Linked DNA regions of Medicago truncatula. The protein of the gene in region 1 interacts with the protein of each later gene in a pairwise test. Links are inferred from orthologs where the notes say so. Each region holds a gene or a part of one and is shown on either strand. Other genes may lie near its edges. The genes, in order: clathrin heavy chain 1 and clathrin interactor EPSIN 1.

Region 1 (13,502 bases):
ACCAAAAAATTTAGCTAAAGAGGAACCACGGCACAACGATAAGAGTTGCCGCCATGTTGGTCAGCCTCTTATAAATACAATGCAAGGCTGCCTACGGTAGATCCATAAGGGGTCTGACCCTTGGACCCCACCCACATGGCGGGAGCTCAATAGCAATTGGTTTACCTTTTACCAAAATTATTAATCAAAAAATGCAAATATCATTAAAATAAAAAATAAAAAATAAAAAAACAGATTTCGAGCAGCTTAGCATTCAGGTCACCCACAGTGTGAATGTTTGGATTGGATTTGGCGGCATGTTTGACTAAACCACGGTAGCACCGTGATTTTGTTGAAGCTCCAAATGTAGCTTTTGACAAAATCGCGGACGCACAACGTTATTTCTCCAAACTCACTGTCGATCCAAACATACACAATCTTTCTTGTCATAAGCGTCTATCTTTTACAAGCATAAAAAATTGTCAAAGTAAAAGGTAGACACTGCAACGACATACAACAAAAGATCAGTAAGGAAAGGATATTTCTGCATTGATTTTTAATAACCTGCACTACCAAGTATTTATTAAAATATTGAACTTTCTACAGCAACCATGCACCCAAACTTCACGCAAGTTAGCACTTAGAAATTGTATGAAACCCAACCACGATTTCTAGCGACTTTCCTGACCACATCTAGCAAAGCAATATATTTATATATTAACTAGATATCAACATACCAACTTCTCAGCACCAGGAAGATTTCCTCTCTTGGCAAGATTAACTGCTAGCTCCAAATTGTTTAACTGTGATAATAACCAAAATAAATTAGTAACAATGCGTCTTTCTTTCCTCTTCACATTAAAGAAGTGATGAAAAGATCAGAAACATACTTGACCACTGACAAAATTCACAATTGTTTGCTCATTAACCGTAGCCAGTAACACCTGGCCTCTCCTGTTAATGGCATAAAAGCCTCCCACTGATGTAGCTTCTGACGTCAAAAATATAGGATCTGGACTGATTCTGTTCCTATAAACAGCAGTAGCCGTCTCCAAATCATAGACAAATAGAAGACCAAGTTTGGTAATCACATAAATCAAACTGTATTTGTGGGATATCTGCCAAAGCAACAAATTATGAATCAACTACCTGCACAGTTAACAAAAATGAACAACAAACACTAGCAACCCCCTTACCTGCATGGAAACTGGAAAATCATCAGCAAAATCAGGAGGAAAGAACAGATCTGCTTGTTTCTTTGTAAATGAAGGTTTCCCTGCCAACAAATTTGGAAAGTTAAATCCCAGAAGGATGATCAACTGAATTACAAATTGTAACATTATACAAATGATTTATTATTGAAGCAATATCCCGATCCATCTTTAAATGCCCACACTAATTTCAATAAACTGCTTTATGATTACATTGAAAGCCCGCAAGAAGTCAAATTTGTTACAATAAACATCATTCATACGTGAAGTAATCACTGGAGCATGGCCCGGCAACATAAGTTAAATTATTTAATTAACTAAAACTATTAGCAATGATGAGTAACCTCCTCCATATGTTTAGTCCACTGCATGATCACTTTGATTCATCAGTCCACAATTGAGTCTCATAATTATTCAGAAGTGAAGAATTTTAGATTGCAAGAAAAAATTTCTTCTTTGGGACATCTTTCAGAAAAGTTGGCAAGGTAGTTAAAATCGAGATTGTACACAAAATCGAAAAGGGGAAGTAAATTTGTACAATCGTAGTATTATACAAAACTCATACAATCGTAGTATATATATAAAAATAAAATTACATATAAGACAGAAAACTTCAAATCACACTTAAAGTACATATGTAAATTCAAATTCATTACCATCCTTTCATAGACAACAAATCTATATATAAAAGGGATGAGAAAGCTGATATGCTAGTTAAACTCTACTTATCGTTCTTTAGTTTATCTAGAGCGATTAAGTTAGCAAAACGGATTTCTCCGTCTTTGTTTGCTAGCATAACTGATCCTATGTCTGACGTTCACAAATCTATATATAAGTTTTAGAAAGGGGCATCCCTACCCCCTAAATTACAAGCTAGCGCGCAACGGCTTTTCGATAGTTTGAGGTTTGGAATCATAAGATTGTACGACTCAAATCGGGAATCCACCCAATTCCACAAAAAATAGGATTATATGTGAACTCCTAATCTTTAAGGGAAAACATGATCGCAAAATCGTAAGATTTTATGATTCAAATCAGGATTTTGACTATCATGAAGGTTAGTTTTCCCACATACCTCTACTAAATACAAGCTATGACCAATTTAAAATTTATATTTTCGTTTCACAGGGAAAAAAGCATGCTTCGAACTCAACATATGACAGCCAAATTGGCAATACAAGACAGATTTATCTTAAAGCCATACTACCCATAGATTAATTCGTAAGAGGTAAATGTGACAGCAAAAAGTTATACAGACCTGGCTGAGCACCCAGCTCAATGACATGCAACTTGGATATAACTTGACCGGCATTAACTGTCTTGGTGGCAAAAGAAATCAAAGTAGACGGATTTTCATTCCCAGGAACCTGTTAAAAAACAATTCAATATTGTCAGCATGTAATAAAACCATATAGTAGTGTACAGTTATTCAAGTAAATATTTAACAACAAAAATACATGCACAAAGAGACATACTTTAAATTGAGCAAATGAAGCCGCATGAGCTTCAAGAGCCTGGCTGCGCTGTTGTTCCACGGAGAATAGTTGCATGTTTCCTTTCACCAATTGTGGCCTCTATAATGCAAGAAGATATGAAGAAATAAACCAAACAAGAACAGGCTCATGAAAATTACAGTATAATAGATCATGATTGTTTTCAAGAACTAACTAATTTAATATATTAATATGTTGGTTTAAGTATAAATAGTTTCATATCTAACATGCCTCCTCATACACAAGTCTATTATTAGATTGCATTAAAATTCAATTTCTTATATAACAGGTGAAACAAGATCAAGTTCCCCACTAATAAATCAAGGAGGCCCTAATACAATTCTAAGAACCATTTGCCCAAAAGCTTATGTTGTTCAGTTTCATATCTAACATGTATCAAAAAAAATTACCGAAAATTCAGTCAATCAAAGTAGAGGAATGAGCTTAAAGTTGAAACTTGAGGAATATTTCACCATGATAACCAACTTAATATAACAAATACTAGAGATATACCTCAGGGGAACCAGGAGCAATACCAATCAAGACCAACCATTTTTCGGTAGGGTCACATCGATAATTAATTATTTGATTGTTTGCCAGATTTGCTGTTCTCTCAAACATCTTTACAGGTTCAGAGTCGCCTACAAGTTACATATATCACATACCAACATGCCAGTTAACAATTTGTAGACAAGCTAAAAGTGCACTGAAGAATAATCGACAAACTTGAAAACATATCACAAAACCATATTTAATTAAATTTTAGTTCATGCATATCTTACCTTCAATTGACCAGTGGTATACAGAAGTCTGTGTCACAAGACCCAACAACTTGGGGCTAATCCACTTCCAAAAGACTACCTACACATGAAACAAGGACATTTACAAGGATTAACAAAGTTGTATCTATCACTCATTAGTTTACAGTACATGCACAGTTTACAGTACATGCACACAGTATAACTATAGACAAATACCTGCTCAGGCATCTGATACGATTTCATCTTTGCTTTAAGTTCAATATTAAATATTTGTAAATGATCTTGAGTTGTTCCTTGGAGTTGAGCTTCAAGAGAAAAATGCACCTCATAAGTCAATATATTTCTAATTCCTAAATATACAAATGAGTGCACACAAAGAGAAGCAGATGAAATAATCAAATAAGAGTAAGACATTACATTATTTCCAAATGGTTGGACGAACATTAGGCTATCTTTAAAAAAATAAAAAAAATTATGCTATCTTAATTACAATCGTCTTTCTTTTTTATTACAATAGTTCTCATACACAAAAATAAGATATAAAAACAAATTTTTTGATTTTTTTCTCTTAATATATAATAGTTAAGGGAAATTCCACCCATCTCCCTTGAGATATGTTTAAATGCAACATATCCTCTCTATAACATAAAAACAGTGTTCCTCTATTCTGTAAAGGGTGTATTTTCAACAAATCTAGAAGAGGTGACTGCAATTTTCCAAACAAATACGAGTGGCGAGTATTCGATTAAAAAATGGAAGAGGGTCGTGTGTCATTTAAGCACGCATGACTGAAGTGTAATCTCCGGACATAATTTTGATTTCATACATAGAATTAAAACATAAGAATACAAATCGATTCGTTTTGTCAGGTCCGTCAAAGATCTATGCTTCACGGGTATGAAACCCTAGCAATCGGGATGCATAAAGCACATATCTAAAAGACTTTCTAGTCCGCTCCTAATTGAAGTCAATCGAATTAAAACTAAGTCGTTTTCGTTTAATAAAATAGTTGCATATATGGAAATGGGGTCTCGCGCCAAGGAAACGCGATATAGAAAGTTTTTTCGAAAAACCGCGGCACCATTCAATGCATTATAAATTTCAAAAACAACACTTTCAACTATTTTCCATGTTTGAGTGTAGTGGAAATCACATGCTATGGCAAAAACATCAAAACTTAAATTTTACATCTCCTAAGATATAAATAATAAATTTAAGCTCCTAATAAATATTGATCTTTACAACAATATACAAAATTCAAACCGATAACGAAATGTTCACAGCTATATAATCCACAACATTACCAGCTACAAACACAACTTACAAGTTCAAAACAAAAACAAAAAAGGAATAGTAGCAAACCTTTCAAAGCAAGAATTCTAGAATTAGGATTCATAAGAGCAGAATCAGCAGTAATAGGTCTCCTCAAAGGCTGATTTGGCATGTTCATATCAACAATAACCACGCTATTCTGCGGCGCAGTTTCTCGAACGCATATATACTTATCAGATTCCATCGTCACATGCGTGAATGTTATGTGCTGTGGATTAATCCCAATGCTTGGCAACTGAAATCACCACAAAATTCAAATCAGAAACAGATTCAACAACTTCACACTTAAAATCCAAACACTTAAGCAACAAAAACAACAAATCATTCAGATCTGAGCAAATTCATCGCAAATTCAACGTAAATTCAGCAGCAAAAAAAAAAAAAGTAACTTCATAATCAAACTAGAGTAATCAATTGGAAAATTATAATTGATCAAAGCTTATAAAAAGTAAATAAATTGATATAATCGTGAAAACAAGAGATGTTAGATTGTTGCTGATGAGTTAAAAAATGGAGTAATGAAGAAGAGAGGACTAACAGTGAGAGCTTCACGCATGAGGATCGGAGCGTTGGCGGCGGCCGCCATGGTGAAATGGATCGGAGATTGAGATCTACAGCGGTGGTTGAATCGGAGTTCAAATCAGTACAAGATCTGGAAACAGCTTGGACTCTCAGAGAGAGAGAGAAGAGAAATGAAAAAAGAAGAAGAAAAAGAGGTGCAAGTGACACTAATAAAGCGGGATTTAAGAAAGAGAGTGGATTTTTTAAGGAAAAGGAAAATGATGACAGTGGAGCAAAGATCTCGTTTTATTCACTAATGCGTTAATTAGGTAAAAAATTTAATTTGTTTTGTTGTGGAAAATAACATAATAACAGACTGGTGTGTATTAACACAGGAGACGTGTGTTACTTGTTGATGGCTTAGTTAGTACGTTTTGATTTTGTGACAGGTGAACTGGGTAATGGTCCAACTTATGTTAGAAAAAAAAAACATAAGTTGGCTTAGCAAGCAATTATGTTTTTTTTTATAAGGCGAAGACAATTGTACTTATGTAACTTTTTTTGAAGGAAAGTACTTATGTAACTTTGTTAAGCATGTACTTTGGTCCGATCAATGACATATGGTATTTTTATATTATTTTACTTTAAAATAAATGTAAATGTTAAAAAAATTGTCTAAAGATTATTTGTATGTAGTCAATCAAATTCAAAAGTATTTAAGAATTCACTTTTTTATAATTGTAATTTTGATCTTCTATTTTTATAAATTTTGATATCGATATTTAAAAAATTTATAGTTTTAAGGTGTGTTTTATATGCACAATCAAAACACAAAACAGCATATTTAAACACTTGTCAGTCAAACGCATCATTTATCAAGTTGTAATTCAACCGACAACAATTATTATTCATAATCAACAACAAAACATCGTCATTTATAATTCAACAATATTACATCAGTTCAACATTATGCACAAAGGATTGAAATACAACAAATATGACGGAACTTGACAACATTGTACAATATTACATCAAATATTTTAAAACTCAACATGACGTTAGATCTCTACTGACAATTTGGACACTTGTAGTTTGAACTAACTCAAAGATATTGTTTACTATCTTCGAACACCATCGAGACAGTCATGGATACTATAACGACACTGTCATTTAGCGTCTCTGCATGATAAACACTAGTTCCTTTGTCGTTATCATTTCAGACTAAGATATATGCATGGTACTTGTACACCAACATGACAAGTAATTGATTTTCATCAAGATGAACTTAATGTTGACTAAGTTCTGTCTTCAACTCATCTAATTTGTCTATGGGGGTTAAAAAAATTGTAATTGTCCTCTTGAAAGTTTCATATCAGACATGACTTTCAACTTTCTCATCATGAGAGATAATTCACTTGACATAAGTAAATACAAGAGAAAAGGCTAATTGTTCAAATTGAGCCTATAAAACATACTTAGTCTGAAAAACTACTTTCTAATAAATAAAAAAACATAGATTCTACCCCTAAAATTTTAAATTTTTTCTATTTTTGACCTTCTATTTTTTTTCTCTATAGACATAAAGTCCAGAAAAGCAACCTAAAGATCGTTTTTCTTTTTTTATGTTTTTTTTAAGGCAGGCTTACGACGTTAAAATATGCCTTTCCACATAAAATTAGAATTTTCCAACAAATGATAGATTAAATATTAATTTTCAAAGCACCAAAAATGTTAAAACAAAACAACAACAACTGAAATACCAATCTAGAAATCAAATTTTGAGTATGTTTTTCGCATACATCTCTATAAAAATACATGCTCTCTCCCAAATTGTAAGCAAAAAATAATAATCACACTTATTAAGAAAACTAAAACATAAGAAGTTGGAGTATAGTTTTTTGTATTTTCTTTGGAAAAAGTTTTATAGGAATATGCAAAAACAATTTTCATTGACTATTGGTTGTGGAGAAAATGAATGAGAGATAAACAAAAGTTTGTATTGGCAAATATGATTTTTTTTAAAAAAAACAAGATTAAATAGGATAAAAGTTTGTATTTTTTGCTTACATTTTGGGACAAAAAAATGAGTTTTTTTTTTTTGCTTACATTTTAGGATAGAGGGAGTATAAAATTAGATCGGCAAAATTTAGTAGCATAATTTTTATGATTTTCAACCACTACGTGCAAAATTGTAATTCTTTTTCGAGTATACATATACTCAGAGGTGAAATTATGTTTCCGACTTTTGAGACATAAATAAAACATCATAGGAACCTTCACCACAGGATGTTCAAACGAGGGATGAATGGATTATTTAAGTAATTCATGATTAATTTCTCACTCGTTTAAAAATTTAAAAATTTAGTGGCGACGGTTCTTATGATGCACTCCCTCTGGTCACATTTATAAGTAAATGACAACTTTTTAGGTTCATTGAATAATTAATGTATTTGGTCTATAAATATGACTAAATACATTAATTATTCAATGAACCTAATTATTATTTTTTTGCTTATAAATGTGATCAGAGGGAGTAGTAAACATGATAACAAGATTCAGGAACAAGATTTGACCGTGATTTTATGCTTATTCGGAGCAAAATTGTAATTTTGCACTTTTGGTTATGAAATTAAAAAAAAAAATCAAGGCATAGATGGAACACAGCAAAACTTTGATGATCCAATCTGTGTATTTTTATAGAGGTTTTTTGCGAAAAATCAACTCAAACTTCAATTTCTAGGTTGAGATTTCCATTGTTTATTTTTGAGTTTTTGCGCTTTAAAAATTCATAATTAATTCGTCTCATGTCATGAAATCTAATTTTATGTGGAAAATCGTTCGTATTTTAACGTCTTAAACATATCTGAAAAATATTATGAACATTCAATTTTTGGGTTCTTTTATTATAGGGGTAGAATATGTGTTTTCTTTTATTATAGAGTCATTTTCCAAACTTCGCGTACATTATAGGGTCAATTTATATATACAATTAACCCCAAGAAAAAAAAATATCATACTGAAATGAAAGAAACTATAAAATGAAGGGTTAATATGTCTTTACCCCCTGTAATATATGACACTTTTGATTTTGCCCCCTGTAATTTATTTTTTTTAGATTTCGTCGTTGTAAAATAAAGATTCCCCTGAGCCTTTGAGTCAGCAGAATCTCTGACGTGGCAACTACGTGGCTTTTTCTTTTTTATTTATTTTTTGACTGCCACGCGTAAAAAGCAATTTACACGTCATTAATAATTAAAAAAATATGAAAATTAATTTTCAACAATTTTAAAAAACAAATTAATTAGGAAATTTTATTTTTTTTAAACTTAGAAAAAATCTCAAATTTAATATTTTTCGAATATTTCAAAAAATTATAAAATAAGGAAGAAAAAGATTCTAAAATATCCAAATATAAATTAAGAAACTTCAAAAATTATAATATTATCTAATATTTTTTTTTTTTATAATTAAGTTTCAGAATATATTTTTTAAATATTCCTAATTTCGTAAAAAATTTGATTTTTTTTAATTTCAAAAAAGATTTCATAAAAATTCAGAAATAAAACTGTCGAAAAAATCTGAAATCTTTTCTAAATTTAAATTTTTTGAAAAAAAAAACTGAAATTCAGATTTTCAATTGAATTTAAAAAAATTATATTCAGAATTTAAAAAATCTTCAAAATTTCATAAATTTGAATTCTCGAACAATATTTCAAGATTTTATAAAAAAATTCAAAAAAAAATCTAAAGTTAGGATTTTAAATATTTAAATAAAATTGTATCGTTTCCAGATTATATAATTGGAATTTAAAAACATTTATATCCAGATTTTTAAAAATTAAAATATTTTCCAGAATTTTTATTTTTTATAGAAAAAAAATTAAAATAAACTTTTTTATTTCGAAAAAAATCTAAATGTTTTTTAATTTTTGAAATTTTATTCGATTTGAAAAAATAATTAGAATTATTTCAGATTTGTTAAAATTTTTAAGAATTAATTTTCTGATTTTTTTTTAATTTTTTAAATATAAATGACATGTAAACTATTTTTACGAATTCTTTTTTGATTTCAAAAAATAAAAAAATTCATTTTTTTTCTAAAATTAGGAAGGATTTTAAAAAAAATTATGGAACTTCATTTTCAAAATAAAAATTTCAATTATTTTTCAAATTTTTGAAAAATAATTTTTTTCTTATTTTTAAAAATTAATTAAAAACAATTAAAAAATATTTTTTGTTTTTTAAAAAGAATATTTTTTTAATTATAAATGACGTGTAAATTCTTTTTTACACGTGGCATCCAAAAAAAATTGAAAAATAAAAAAAATGCCAATATTGTCTTCCTAGACAATCTACAAGTCATTGAACTGCTATAAGTCTGAGTTATCTTAAAGTTCATGATTACCATTCCGTTAGAGAAATTCAACACTACATGTTCCTCAATACTCCAACAATTATGGTTCTTAAACCCCGGTCTCTAACTTCGTGGTTACGTTGCGACTCTGCTTTTGCCACTTACTATCTTCTTTCACCATTCCTTCTAGTTTCTAGTTGTTGGTTCCTCTTTAGGGTGGATCTATATGAACTTATTCTTAAATTGCTTAATTAATGGTTGCGTGAAATAAAATATTGATTAAAATTTCGGATTTTTCAATGTTTAGAATTATACCATTAAATAAGTTTGTAAACTTGCATCTACGGCGTACATCTTCTCACCCTTTATATTCTCATACTCTTCCTTTTTCAATGGAGTAGATGATTACAAGTACATATGAGAGTGCTACTAAAAGCATCCACAATGGTAGTTCTTTAATAAAGACTCCTTAAATGGATCTCACGTTAGAGATCACTTATATGTAATATTTTAATAAAAGTATATATTAAGGACTCAATGACTCCAATAAAAGTACACTAATAAGAACTCTAATAAAAAATACTTAAATAGATCCCACTAACTTTACATCATTAAACAAAAATAATTTATTTATTAAATTATAAATTACCTCATAATATTTTAATTATAATCCTTAAAAAAAAATTAAATTATAAAAAAAATTATTTATTCGAATGAACTTAAATTTCTGGCACATTTGCTAATAATTTGAAAATGGAAAAATTAACGGTACGTGGTGGATATGAATCACACAACTAAGCCTCTGTTCAATTGATATCAAAAGAAAGCGTTAAATAAATATATGCTAGAGATAACTTTTCCTCTCTTCACTCATTTCCTTGTTGGATACTATCAGTGGAAAGCAGTCCAACTCCTCTGGAAATGACAGCCAACTGGAGTCTGGAACCAGCAAACACTTAGGAGAGGCGAAACCCTATCTTCTCTCTTTAAGTAGGTAAACCTGAGTTTAGAGCCACCTCGATTCGGAACACCAACCGAATCCTAAACTGACTTCAGAACAGATTACAAATAGATAACTTTACATTCTTAAAAAAAAAGATACATTTCTTCGTTAATAAATAATTTGCATGAATTACATTTTATTTAAACTGATGACAAATAGATAAAATAATATTTAAAACAATTATTAATTATTAAAATATATTTTCTTTTGTAAATGGAACCAAATAATACATATTTTATTACTTCTTTTAAACGATTACTCTTTTTTTTTTTCCTCTTAATGATCGTTAAGTGGAGATAGGAGATATAGTTGCTCATTCATTAATGAAAACTCATTTTTATTACTTCTTTTAAACGTGAGACCCGTTAATAGCTCAAGATATATGGTCCTTGTATAGTTGCCCATTCATTAATGAGGACTCATTTTTTATTTCTTTAATGGAGGATCCTTAACAAGGAGTGATCACCGTTAAGTAAGGACTAAGAACTTCCCATTGGAGATGCTGTAAATGATCCAGGCAGTACTGTTACCTTCTTTCGTCCAATTAAAATTTATCGTAGTAACAAGTCTTGTATTCTCGATTAAAAAAAAAACAAGTCTTGTATTTATAATGCTTCAATTAAGATATTTTTTAAGTTGTATATGTTGAAGTTGAACGGTAAAAAATCGAACCATAGTTAACTATCAATGGAGGCAAAAACAACATTTCTATGTGTTTTTAAGAAAAACTTAATGTGAGAAAAACAATTTTCTAAATTTTATCTCAACATTTATTTGCAAATAATTTTGCATTAAATACTTAAACTGGTCTGGAAGCAATGAAAATTGCCACCACAAGACACTTAAAATAGGGGTTCAATCTATAGTATATCAAGGTTCTTAAAACAAAACAAAATGGCAACCTTAATTCAGGGTTATTTTAGCATGCATGGTTATCTTTCACACTTGCGTGTATCTTCAGTTCATCTCCCATGATTCGCTGAAAGATTTGTTCATTTCATTGTAACAAGATGAGTAGCACAAAAAATAACAATCATCAGGAAATGAGAAGCACAAAAAGTAGCACGACTAACATTATCAAATATTCAAACATAAAAACAACAATTTAACAATAAATAATCCAGCAAAATTGTAACAAGACGAAGTTTCTATCAAGCTATTCGGACAAATGTATTGAAGGAGATGACTGACTTAAATATTGAAAAAAGATAGGAAATAAGTTCCCTTAAAAGACACGGTAAGATTTTCCCATTGAACTCTTCAGATACAAGCACCGAACCTGAAATCAAGAGTAGGTTATATTAGATAAATGTCTGGTTCATTCATACTGAATATTCCTAGGATATTGAAGAAACAACAAAAAATAGCAGTAGAGTTTAAAGAATAAGCCCGTAAATCAGTGTTAAAAAATTTCAACTAGGGAACTAGCATACACTCTAAAGTTATCGTAGCAAACACATTCAACATGATGCAAATCAAAAAAGCAATTGTCAAACCACTTATCCCTAATTTGAGGTCAAATTTTGTACACAGATACTACAGCAATTCAAGGAATAAAAATAAAGGAAACATGTGTGCGGATGAAAGAAAGCATGTTAGGTTGCAGGCACAAACGATGCAGAGCATCATGCTACCATTTCACCGGACGGCATCTAAGAAATCATACTTTCTTGTAACTTACAAAATAAAGGTAAAATAGAAGCAAACAGAGCAATGAGTTTAGGCAATGATGAAATAAAAGGAACACTCACATTCTGCCAGTTCTTTTTCAACAAGGAGACAAGGAAGTTAACACTGAGTTGAACATTTTGAAAGATTTGCTTTTCATCCATGCTAACATTACCCACAGCTACTCCCATACAGAGCACCTTCTTAAGCTGAAATTTCACCATAGCTTTTGTCTCATTGACCTTTCCCTCGAGAGATTCTTGGTGAGAGACAAGTGTTGGGAACTTCCCTGTAAAGTAATGCATGCAAAACATAAATCTCAACAACTTAAGCCATAATTAAATTCTGAAATCTTAAGGACGGAATAAAATATATTTTTCGAACAAGGCAATTCATTAAAAGAAACACTTAGAAGGATATGAATAAGATATCAAAAGATGGTATAGTACTTCATAGATTTTTAGGAAACTAGTACTTTAAAATCAAAAGATTTACAGCGTAAATGATAAGATATTGATAAATAGACTACAACGTATAATTACAAAATATTCAAAACAAACAAGGTAAACACATAAAGGGCAACCCGGTGCACTAGAGCACCCGCATATGCAGGGTCCGGACCATTTGGTGTATTGTATGCAGCCTTACCCTATTTTACACAAGAGGCTGTTTCCAGAACCCAAGGTAAACACATATTTCCGGTAAAAAATAAAAACGTAAAACTTAAACCAAGAGAAACACATGCCTGCCTTGTTGAGACCAGGACCCAAAAGACGAGGAATCTGCTTAATGACTGCCTCAGAAGCTAAGAAAGCATGGTACTTCTTGGCTAGCTTTTTCACCAACTTCTTATTTTTGTTGAGCTTCTTCAAGGCTTCAACATCCATTGATTCCAAACCTATCTTCTCTGCCTGCAAATTGGAGAGATAGATTAAACACAAATGACAAGGCAAAAACTGGAAGGATAATTACAGAAGAGCATTATTATTTTATGTTCTGAAAACAAGTAATCCTTATGAAATAACTTATTTGTCATTTTAAAAGCAGAACTTCTTAGTTCTAACTATTTACCATTATACATTTAATTATATACAAAATCACAAAATATAAACCAGCAATGCTGAACCTACATAATAACAACACTTTCCTGAACAGTGATATCACAATTAGGTTATAGAACTTCAGAAGCATTGTATCATT
Region 2 (12,597 bases), on another chromosome or scaffold:
TCTAGGTAGTTTTCGGCGGTCAACATACAACATTAAAAGAATGAGAAAGACCGGAACAAAGGAAGGTGAAGGCAACCACACATTTTACAACATAAAGCAGTATCACAAGCTATTTGGGTACTTCAGTTTGCTGGATCTTGTAATCAACATTAAAATGCAACAGTAGCATGAATTTAAGATAATATAATCACAATAGTGATAGGAAATTGCTATTCCTACCTTTCTTGGATACAAAATAGAGAGAAATATATATTAACAAAATCCACCATGCCAAAAAGCTCAGCAATCTTGATAAAGCCGACACACAAAGAATGAGTGAAAATGTGATGGAATGAGTATACAATTTGTGAATTTTTTTACTTCTGGAACCCACCAAATTGATAGTTTTGGCCACCGAAGTTTGAAAATATGTCATCTCCAGCTGTTGACTGTGAAGGAGTGCCACCATACATACCAAGACCGGATCCTGTACCCATAGCTCTCCCCATGTATAATGTAGTTGGAGGGCCTTTCTCCCTTTCATCTAATCCATCACTTAATCCACCCACAATTCCAACATCGACAAGGGATACTTTTTTGGCTGCAAAATAATATAAGATAATTACATAAGTAACCAAAATAATTGGCATATTACATATTTCACGAGTGCATCATATAACAGAATGACTCGTGATATTGCACATACATGAGGAAACAATGGGGAAGTGGACGACTACACTAGTTCACCAAGATCCTCCTACCAAATTCATGTACTTAATCTAAAGCAAGGATAACGCATACTACAATGTAATGCATTAATCACCCTGAAACACAAGATTGAATCCCAAAAGGCTAAAACCCTAAATAAATAAATTATGTTTCAATGTAATCATGGAAGAAAAGGACCATGCAACTACATATTTAAAACATGCAGTTGCAAGCTTTTTTCGGGTGAAAACATGCAGGTACGGGATATAAAGCATTAACTCAACACAGAACATATTATGCAGTGGAAAAGCTGTTAAAGTAATCAGCATAAAAACTTACGAGCAGATATATTGAGGTCAATCAATCCACGGCTTAGTGAATCAGCCCAAATGCCAGACTTCACCTGAAAAGCATCCTTTTTAGGCGAAACATTAGAGTCTGTTACAGATTTACCACTTGTACTACCATCGGTGGCAGCATTCGTTGAGGGCTGAGAAGATACAGAATCAGATTGAGAAGTAAAATCACCAAAAACATCAGATCCCTCAAAATTATTAAGTGGAACAGAAGCAAAGGGATCAAAAGTGCTGTTATTCACAGGAACAGAGTTTTCCGACTTGCTGTCAGGCTGCACAGCTGGTGAAGGAATGGAAAACAAGTCAACTGTTGGTGTAACTGAAGGAATGGCTGGTTGTGAAGAGAAAAGATCCACTTCATCCTGAGCATGGAATCAACAAGATACACACAAGCGGAATTTTAGCACCGTGAATGAAAATGTGGAGAAAGAAGCGAAACAGGTAAATCCATAATTTTTACAACATCTAACAAAGCAACAACCAAATTTTCCCCTACTAGGTGGGTTCGACCGCATAAATCCAACGACGACGTAATATCTTGTTATGAATTAAGTCCAATGATGGATCATTCATTCTAAATCTGTTTTATTGGTTTGGGCTATAAGTTTGCATGTTATCTCCTCTATCTTCAACTACTGGAGTATCCACCATCCTCCATCTAGTCTAGTCTTTGTATTTCTACATCCCTTCTAAAGTCTAAAAAACGTCCAAACTCGTTATTATCTCAAATGAATTGTGATCACAATTTAATAAGCTGAATAATTTTCCTCACATGCAATTAATACACCCATGTGAAAATTTATCAACACCAATATTTCTAATGTTCTCCTCCAAAGACAATTCCAGTCTCAAAATACTAGTTCAGTTATAATTCATAATAAGAATATACCAATAATATTCACATCGATGGAGTAAAGTGCAGTTAAACAATCCCATTCATATTGGCAACATTCATACTTTTGGAGCACCAATGAATGTGGCAATTTAAGGTTGTAAGATAGAACCTACTTAATGATGGAGATTCATGCCATTAAACAGGTAATTGGTAGCTGAAATTAAAAAAAAAACGGCAACACAAATTATTGCTAATGAAGTCTAACCTGTGGTTGAGAACTAGCTCCTTTGTCCGCATGTGGTGCTGCTGAAACAAATGATGCATCCGCAAAGAGATCAACATCTGACACATTACTAGTTGCTGGCTTTTCTACAGAAACAGATGTTGGAGCATCCATGAAGTCACCGAGCAAATCTTGTCCAAAGAGATCAACCTGGTTTGAGCTTCCAGCTGAAGTCTCTGTTTGAAGGAAGGAAAAAAAAAATACAATTTATTAGGTAAAAGTCCTGTCCTTGAAATCAAAATACATAGTCAATTGTTCAATTTGATTTTTCTTCCGTTTTTCTGGCGGCCCTGGAGTTGTAACACTTAAGGAGAATAAATTGAATTGCGAAAGCTTCTGTGTGAATGCTTCAGAATACAATAAATTACTAGTTGTAACACTAGTAAGTATTCTGAACACTTAAAATAAGAGCAACCCGGTGCACTGAAGCTCCCGCATAGGCAGGGTCCGGGAAGGGGTCCCACCATTTGGTGATTGTTCTTGTCCTTAAGCGATGTTCCTCAATTTATTGTCCTTAAGTGTTCAGAATACTTACTACTAGATGTTCCTCTCGGATCAAAATCATCAAAGTCGTCCTCAGTAGGTACACTTGCACTTTGAGAAGGAACTGCATTAGCAGATGACTTTGATGCTCTAGAAGATTTGTTCTCCTGACTTTTGCTGCAAGGAAGACACTCTGGAATAAGAATATGGGCAACAGAATAGAATCATTGCAGTATGGAGAGGCAGAAGCATGTGCCTTTCTGTGCATAAAAACCAAAGCAGGTGCAAGTAAAAAGATGAGTTGAGATAAGCATCTCAAGTTCTCAACCATTTACCCAAACTCCTGCTTAATTTTTTCCAAGTCAAAATAAGCTTGTTGAACTAGGCAATGAGGATCAAGAATCAAAGGTTTGAGTCTGGACATGTGTCCAGTGATGAGCATATAGTTGTATCATGCACAGGCCTGTCTTTGACTAGTTAAAGGCTTATTTCAGCTTTTATAGAATTTTTAGCAATTAGAAATCTTTCTTATGCTTATGGGCACTTCCCAACATTTTAATAGTAACAGTTTAATAGATCTACAAGATACATTTTCTTCTGCTAAAAATGACACATTTTCTTCTAAAGGAAAAGAGACCATAAAACCTATTAGAAAAAAATTACACTTAGTGCCCTGCTTATGTCAATATTATTTGAAGAAATGCTTTTCGGATGATAATTAATTTTCAAATAATAAGTTTCCTTTCTGAAGAACAGACATTAGAATCGAAATTTGAGCCTTCATTGGTGTCCAAGGTAAAGAAAGATAAAAAGTAAGCTCTAATTATAATGAAATTTAATATATTTGTTAGGATATGCAGACAAGAGAGTGCATGGCCATATGGTTAATGACTGAATTATTTAGAAAGAAAAAAAATTCTATGAGACCAGCTAATGTACAAAAAGAAAGGTAAACTATTAAAAGCAAGTTATTAAAAAAACTAACAATTTCCTAAACTCCTTGGTAAATGGCTTCACTAGTTTAAAAACTTGGGGCACAACTAGACATACAGTAACGAATAAGGCGCATCAGAAAACAATGTACATGACAATACACACGGTAATAACTATATCTATGTAGTAAGTGCTACTGCTAAAGTAGTCACTAGATACTTCAGATTCAAACTTCCGAAGGATTATGTATGGCAAAACAATCCAACTATAGTATGGAACTACTGAACAAGCATAAAATACATTTACCATTATTTGCACGCCATACCTGACAGACCGAACAGAACCTTTTTTGAAGGAGTTCTCTTCATTTTTACTTGAGACACCATGCCGTGATTTTCCTGAGTAATCTTTGTCTATTTTTGCTTCATCATAGCGCCCCTTGTCTCCGTAGCTATCACTAAACCTATCACCACTTGAACCAAAACCTCCATATTTGTTACTGCTCCCACTACTAAATGAGGTTGTCCCGGATTTGTATGTCATTCCACTAGATGAAACTCCAACGTACCTAAATTAAGCACACCAAAAGAAAAACAAGAAAATTATTTGCTGAGAACATAATGGCAGCTTAGTTTACCTAATCACTATGGGATTGAAATATTGACAAATTTGACCTACTTGTCACGGTTTGCAGCAGCTTTATTTCTAATATCATGTATCTTTTCTCTATCATTCAAAAGGGCAACAATGTTTTCTGCCTTCTTCCTTACATTGAGTCCCACATCCTTCCCATTAGGCTCAACATATTCAAAGCTAGAAAGTGCCTTTACCAATAAAAGTAAATGGTGTTTATGTAAGAAATTTCTCTTATGATTTATTTGTAAGAACTGTTGAGAATTGCAAGAAAAACTAGCTAAATGCAAGAGAATGGCCCTTACAGAGATCTGAAAAGTATGTTCTATAATGTCGTCAACTGCACGTTCAGATCCATGTGATACCAAATACTCTATAACAGCTAATGCCTGACATCAAATAGAAAGAGAAGCGAGTTGATGTATCAACAAAGAAAATGCAACAAAACAAAACACTTCTCTTTGTACCTTAAAGTTTTAAGTAATAACATGGTTATTTAGATAATGTTACCTTGTATACATATCGCCAATCCTTTCCAGTTTCAGCCAATCTTGTCCAAAGAACATTCATAACCAGCTGACATTCAGTACTGGAAGGTACAGAAGAAGCAAATAAGCAATCAACTAACTTGCATCGGAAAATTTTCTCCATGAAAACCAAACGAAATTTTCAAAAATTAAAAAACAATATAAAAGGAAAAGCAGTAGGTAGATATTTACAATTTTTTGGTAGCAGTTGCAATCTCTGCCAGCACAGTACCATGAGGACCCCAAGGCTCATCGTCAGTTGCATCCAACACCTAAATTATAAATAGTGGCAGAAAAAATCAACAAAACAATACCAATGGAATGCAGATTGTGCGGTACTAGCATGGCAATCAATCCACATTCTTATTCTTCACTCATATACATAGTTATAAATATAAAATATTGTTCAATGATAACATGCTAAACACACTGCCTAAAGCAAAAGAAAAGAAAATCTTCAATACATTTTGAAATTCTCAATAAATAGAAAAGGAGCCTTGGCAAAATGGTTGGATTTGCTTCCATGTAAAAAAAAAATTAAAATCAAAAACATTGTTAACATGTGCAATTCCCTTTTATCAAGCATTACCGATATACTTTGAAATTTAAACATACACTCCACAGATTACATTTGCAGAGAAAGAATCAGGCAGAAAACATAAAATCTATTATTAAACTCAACAAAGGTTCTTAAAGTTTGTGATTGTATGAAAACAAGCAATTATGTAACAACTGTCTTGCATCAACAGATTATTCAAAAATCACGTGATAATATGCTGCCACGATCAATTTTCAGACTCAACAACAACCAAACCTTATCCCACTAAGTGGGGTCGGCTACATGGATCAAATTACACCATATTGTTCTATCACATATCATATATCTATCCAACTCATCAATCTATAAATCTTTCTTAATAGTTTTTCTATGTCTCTTTCTGCGTATAGTCAACAGTGATTTAACTACCCTCCATCTAATCTACTCTCTTTACTACAAAATCTACAGATCTTCTCTCTGCATGCCCAAACCCCCCTAAGATGAGTTTCCACCATCTTTTCTATAATGGATGCTACCCCAACTCTCTAATATTGTCATTTCTAATCCTATCTTGTCTAGTCTCACCGCACATTCAACGCAACATCCTCGTCTTTAACAAGCATTCCACAGTTTACATTTGCAGAGAAGGAATCAAACACAACATAAAATGTATTCTCAAACTGAACAAAGATTCTTAAAAGTTTATGATTCTATGAAAACAAGCATCAACAAATTATTCAAAAACTACGTTAAAATACGCTGCCGCAACCAATTCTCATACGATTTCAATTCAATTTGATTCGATTTCAAATACATGTAACAATCCTTATTGAGAAAAATATATTTATTAATCAATCAACACAATTCTTCAAAATATCAGAAATTTTAATGGAAATAAAATAAAAATTAGAATTTCACCTTCTGTTCGATTTCAGGAACCTTAAGCACCTTCAGATTCACCTCTCTCTTACTGTTATCAATCAAATATTCACAAATAAGAACGAAAATTGAAATATATTTCGAATTCGATAATTTAAAAAAAAAAATGAAAATTGAAATGCAAAAAAGGATGAATTGAAAATGTAACATTACATTTCTCGAACGGTTTGATCGAAGACTTTCATGAAATCCATGATGATTGATCTGTGTAGATCTGATCTGAAGGGAAAGGTTATGTAGCTTTGTGTTAATTGAGGCGAAATTCGATGGGTTCTGTTGCTGTGATATCTAAGATTTCAGATCTATTTCTTTCTTCTTTTTTTTTTTTACACATTGTTGTATGGATTTAATTGATATGCACCGTCGGTGTAAAACTAGATATACACCGTCAGTGTAAAACTAACTGTGCATTCCCATTAAACTCCAGTTACAATTTTTTAACCATCTAAAGTTTGGACTAGTAATTATTACACTTAGAAATCAAAATCGGTTTTTTTAAAATGATATATCTTTAATAAAATTTATTAATTATTTGAACTCAGTCGCTTGATTCTTTCTATTATAAGTTTGATTCCCTTAATTTTACACTTACGAAATTGGTTTACCAATTTTGGTTTCTCACTCAATGATGACGATGTAGATCACCTACATGTATTAATTATATACATGTTATTGACTAAGTTGCAAAAATGAATAATTTTCCAGTTTGAGAATGAAGTTTTTTAAAAGATGTTCTTTGTAATCACATGAGTGTTAATCATTCTAAGCCATTGTATTGTATGTTGTATAATTTAAAATATTTGACATCTTCGCTTTTTAGTCCCAAATATATGACTAATGGACCAAAACTTGTTAGATTTAAAGAGTTAATTTATGCGGAGATGAAAATTGAATCAAGACCATAATAACTTTACCTACAATGTTAACTCCTTCATCTGTCACCAAGCCAGCTATAACTCATATGACATCATTATTTTGAAAAAAATGATTGTACTCTATTGCAAAAAAGAGTGTTATAAACACTTTTTTTTTCTTTCTAAAACTTGCTTTTAAGGGATTCCATCTATATTTTTATTTTTTCTTTTATATCTTGAACATTTGGATTAGAAATATAGTATAGTATTATTTTAGCCTAAATTGAACATGTTTTAATTTTATTTTGTTGGTTTTAAAAATGGTACTTATAAGTTATAACAATTTGATTAGGCTTTTCTAAACAAAAAAAAAACAATTTGATTTGGCTAAATACATCTTAAGGTCTATTAAGTTTAATGTTTGAAATTAGATTCAGCATTTTAGTTTTTTTAGTTAGTTAGTCATTTATGTTAGTAAAGTTTTTTTTGACATAGTCTTTAAGTCATAAAATATACTATCTCCGTTCCTAATTATAAAAAAAAATTGAGAATTTTTTTTATCCCTTTTTATAAGACACCTTTGATATTTTCAAGTACATTAACTATTACTTTACATACATGTCCATATTTATTATACATCTTTTTCTTCAACTAGCAATAAATAATATGTTGAAAACATAAACTAACTCTATCTCTTATAGGATAAAATTATAAAAACAATAGTGATTACAAACAATATTAATGCAAATATCTACTTTCTTAATTCTCGTGATTTTAGCAAAAGGATCTTATACAAAGGTCTTAACTACCCTCTCCCAATTGAAATCATTTAAAAAAGTATTAACATGGACGTTAATTGTTAAGTTACGTTGGTTGGTCAAAATTTACAGCTCTCAAAACTAAGAACCATAAGTGTATTATTCAATCTTAGTTTAAAATAAAAATAGATCAAGTACTTGATTATAATGTTTATAATGAAATATTTATCAGTAAAATTAGGATTGATTCGGAAAACAATGAAAAAAAAAATGCATGTAAGTAATCATATTTGGTGTCATAAGTTTTTTTTTTTTACCTTCCACCTTAATGTTTAATGGCTATGTAAGAATTTTATAACAAAGTTAGATGTCAATTTATTACCAATTTTTTCAAAAGACTAACTTGTTTTTTTTATATATATATAAATATCTAATTTAAAACTAAAAAAACTAAATCGACTAATCTAATATAAACGTTAAACTTAAAAGACTCTCAGATGTATTTGAACATTTGATTGTTTATTAAATTGTCGTGTCACAAGCTAGGTTTTAAATGTACATCGCCTCATCATGTAGAAAGCAACATTAAATAAATATTTAAAATAAAGTGTTGTGTACTAGTGTTATTCATATTAAAATTTTCATTCATGGTAATTTTAAAAAAAAAAACATTTCAAATGTTTAATATTATTATAATCTATTTTTAGTGTATAATTATGTAATAATGAATTTTCACAAATGTATGAATATGTTTTAATGTAAAATTATATACAAATTCATTCATGTCAAATATTCATTCATATGAGTTATCTTATCTTAGTACTCTTAAATGGGAAAAAAACAAACTCGCTGCTCTTAGAGCTCGTTTGATGTTCTTGATAGGGAGACCAGATATGATAACACTATCATATTCTACTTAAATCTCTTGTTTGATGCACCAATAGAAAATGATAAATTAAATGTATCACTAAACCTATCATGCGTGTGTTTATTTTCTATTACTCTAAACCCCCTTCGACTCCTCATTTTCTGCAACTTTTCTCTTCATGTAATTTTTTAAGGATATTTTAGTTTTTTTTTTCTCCTTATTCGATTCTTCAGTTTTTTTATACCCAATCTCTAGAACCGTTTTTCCCCTATTTTTTTTAAAGATTTTTTGCTTTATTGTTTCTTCATATATTTTTTCTATCGCTACTATGATTAAATCAATCCAAAGTCAAATGTTTCTTTCTTTCCTTTTGTCGAATTTCTATATTTGTGTTATTTTATTTCACACAAATAGGCTTATATTCTCAATACATGCCTTTATTTCGACATACTTATCAAAGAAATCAATTCCTTTAACATTTTACAAAATGGTAAAGATCTTTAATCGTTCAGGATAAAAGTTTATTTGCAACAAAGCTACGAATTCGCAAATAGACCATAGTTTTGTAAGTAAAACTTCAATAAATATAATTGCTTGCCCCCAAACATTGATATTAACAAGTTTGTTGTAACGCCCTATTTTATTATTTATTTACTTTAATTGAGTTTAGATGTCTTTTTATAATTTAGTCGATTTATTTTGATGAGTGATATTTTGTTATGTTATATGTTGGTATATATTAGTATAAAATATTATGTTATTTGGTGTGGAAATATATATGTTATGTGGTGTAGAAATATATTTGTTATTTGGTGTAGAAATATATATGTGGTGTAGAAATATGTTTGTTATTTGGTGTAGAAATATATATGTTATCTGGTGTATAAATATATTTGTTATTTGGTGAATAAATATATATGTTATAGAAATATATTTGTTATAGAGATATATTTGTTATTTGTTATAGAAATATTTTATATTATATTATATATGGGATAGGATCAAATGACACCATGGTGTCAAAATTAGTTTGACACCAAATTTCATCCATTCATCACATTTAATTCAAAGGTTTAAAACTATCCACAAAATAATTCTCCTACACCAATTTTTCCCTTTAACATCTAATTAAGAAAAAAAGGAAAACATTTATTGTCATAAATTCATTATCAATCATTTTTTTCTCTCATTTTTTTATTATTACTTTTTTTTTTTCATTGAGCATTGTCATATTGAACGAAGAGATTGACAAAAGAAAAGTAAGCATATAACATGTGCAGTTTTTAAAAAATAAAAAACTAATTTGGCCATTATTTGTGGAAATCATGACTGTGCAGTTGTGAAAATCAACGGACAACATACACTCATGCATTTCGTCTTTTTTACTGTTCGTAGCAACCATCGTTACCCTTTTTTATTACTTTACATTTTTTCTTCAAAAAAAAAAAAATTTGTTTTAATTTTTTTTTTAGAAGACATTGAAGCTTACTGTTGTTGAGGTAATTAAGCTTAAACAATATGATCAGTGATAAAATAATCTAATTAGCAACAATTTTTGAGAGGTTAGATAGCAACAATGGTGAAAGAAAAAGAATCATTTTGGTCTTTTGATTGAATATGTAATTTTTTTAATGCAATTTATATAATTATCCGTGGTGATGACTGAATCCAATCAACCATAATCATGATTTTTTTTTAAGACTAAGTAAGAATAATAAGTAGTAAAAATGGGGAAAAGAGGAAAGGATTGATAATGAATTTATAATAAAGATTTTTTTTTAATTAGGTGATAAAGAGAGAAATTGGTGTAGGAGAATTATACAAGGATAGCTTTAAACCTTTGGATTAAATATAATGAATGGATGAGATTTGGTGTCAAACTAATTTTGACACCATGGTGTCATTTGATCCTATCCCATTATATATATATATATTATGATAGAATATTGAGACTTTGAGGACATATTTGGAAATAAGAGAAAATAAGTAGGTTAAGGATTTATATAAAGGGGGGATAGTTAGAATTAGAAAATAAGGATTACGTGAAACCTGTTTTTGGCGAAAAAGTGAGAAAACCAAGAGAAGAGAATAGAATAGTCAGAGGAGAGAAAGCGGTAGAGTCCTTCGTCGATCAATCTAAGGTAAGGGTGAGACTAACTTTCTCTAATTCTAAGAGGTATAATTCTGAAAATCGAATTTAACAAGTTGTAGGTTGTAGTTTTGGGAATTAGATTTAGAAGTTGTAATTGGTTGATTTAAGAGTAGATAATCCGATGAATTAGGTTGATAATTTGTGATTTTCTGAAATAATGTTTTGGGTCAAGTTTTATATGGTTTTCAGACTCTTTTGATGTATATAAATGTTTTGACAAACTTTGGGATCAAATTTGGGCATAGGGAAGTTAAAATTGGGATTTTGGGATGAAAAATGGGTTTTTCCCGAGTTGCTCTCTGACAGCACGTCCTCTTTCATGTTCTTGCGTCTTTTTCACACGTTTCTGTTTTGAATTGGCCTTTGGTGTAAACATGAAAGTTGTAGATAATTGAGTTAGCTTTCCAGTGGCTTTGGTTTGACGTGAAAATGATTTTTGGTTCTTGAGATATGATGAAAATACTCCAAGGAGGTCTTAGTGAAATCTTATGAAAATTCAACATAACCGTTTCTAAGTTAATCCAAAACTTAAGGAATAATTTCAAACCTCAAAACTAGAAGTAATATAGGTTCAACTAGGGTGCTTAAGAGTATTTAACCTATGTTGTGATGGATCTAATTTGGTTTGACGTGAATATCTTTGTTGGATAATTTGAAATACATATATTATGTGAATATTGTTGTTGAATAATTTGAGTTACATATATTTATGTGGAAAAGGTATGATATAGAAACTAATGTTGTTATACCATTCAAGTTGTTATTATTAATGATGCTATGTTGTGAAATTGTTGTATGTTGTTGTCTCTGCTGTATTGATTATTAAATCATTAAGTTGCATATGTTGATCGAGTTGTTAAAGTTGTAAGTTGTTGTCAATTTCGTTAAAGTTGTAAGTTGTTGTCGATGTCGTTGAAGTTGTTGGTTGTCGCTGCATTAGTTGTTGAGTCCATGCATACTCATTTACGTTGAGGGCTTGATGCCCTGTGAGCTTTTGCTCTTTAAGTTGAGGGCTTGATGCCCTAGGAGTGTATTTATGCTCAATACGTTGAGGGCTTGATGCCCTGTGAGCTTTTGCTCTTTAAGTTGAGGGCTTGATGCTTTGGGAGTGTACTTATGCTTAATATGTTGGGGGCTTGATGCCCTGGATTGATACCACATGCATGATTAAGAAGTCGAAGTTGCATTGTCGAGTCAAAGTCGTTGTTGATGAGTTGTTAAGTTGATGATGAGTTGTTAAGTTGTTGAGTTGTCTTCTATCCACGTGTTGTTAATGAAGTGCTTATGAAGATTATATGATTTTGTTTATGATATTGATTATGATGTTATGATGTTGTTTATGATGTGTTGTTTATGTTGTTATAAGATTATGTATATGATGTGTTGTTTATGTTGTTATAAGATGATGATGTTTATGATGTGTTGTCTATGATGTTATAAGATGATGTTTATGATGTGTTGTCTATGTTGTTATAAGATGATGTTTATGATGTATCGTTTATGTTGTTATAAGATGATGTTTATGATGTGAAGATTATGTCGTTATATGATGATGTTTATGATCTGATTATTATGTGCTATATGAAGTTGTATATAATGTGATGAATATGAAGTTAACGATGATTAGAAGTTGGTTGAGTTATTAATGAAGTATTATAAGAAGAGTTAATGTTATTAATTGATGAAGCTTAAGTTGTTAAATGCATTTGATGAATTATATGCTTATTATTATTGAATGTGAAATCTCACCC

The links.
Region 2: the proteins of clathrin heavy chain 1 (region 1) and clathrin interactor EPSIN 1 interact in binary tests that used the Arabidopsis thaliana proteins (3 or more experiments, as listed by UniProt). The link is inferred for Medicago truncatula from reciprocal best matches to the Arabidopsis thaliana genes AT3G11130 and AT5G11710.

What each region holds. Positions count from the first base shown.
Region 1 is NC_053044.1:35,324,119-35,337,620, reverse strand, and holds the start of clathrin heavy chain 1, read right to left. Parts: upstream 5,569-13,502; 5' UTR 5,363-5,568; coding exon 5,315-5,362; intron 5,012-5,314; coding exon 4,807-5,011; intron 3,750-4,806; coding exon 3,661-3,749; intron 3,545-3,660; coding exon 3,466-3,544; intron 3,325-3,465; coding exon 3,197-3,324; intron 2,765-3,196; coding exon 2,666-2,764; intron 2,558-2,665; coding exon 2,449-2,557; intron 1,256-2,448; coding exon 1,176-1,255; intron 1,098-1,175; coding exon 870-1,097; intron 783-869; coding exon 717-782; intron 1-716. Other genes in the region: 60S ribosomal protein L10a-1, read right to left, coding at 11,860-11,913, 12,386-12,591, 13,048-13,213. UniProt on the Arabidopsis thaliana protein: Clathrin is the major protein of the polyhedral coat of coated pits and vesicles. Mediates endocytosis and is required for a correct polar distribution of PIN auxin transporters.
Region 2 is NC_053042.1:4,646,641-4,659,237, forward strand, and holds clathrin interactor EPSIN 1, read right to left. Parts: upstream 6,547-12,597; 5' UTR 6,409-6,546; coding exon 6,368-6,408; intron 6,246-6,367; coding exon 6,194-6,245; intron 5,010-6,193; coding exon 4,930-5,009; intron 4,800-4,929; coding exon 4,721-4,799; intron 4,600-4,720; coding exon 4,516-4,599; intron 4,402-4,515; coding exon 4,256-4,401; intron 4,146-4,255; coding exon 3,903-4,145; intron 2,822-3,902; coding exon 2,697-2,821; intron 2,338-2,696; coding exon 2,144-2,337; intron 1,406-2,143; coding exon 1,027-1,405; intron 581-1,026; coding exon 357-580; 3' UTR 67-356; downstream 1-66. UniProt on the Arabidopsis thaliana protein: May have a role in transport via clathrin-coated vesicles from the trans-Golgi network to endosomes. Stimulates clathrin assembly. Does not seem to bind to phospholipids.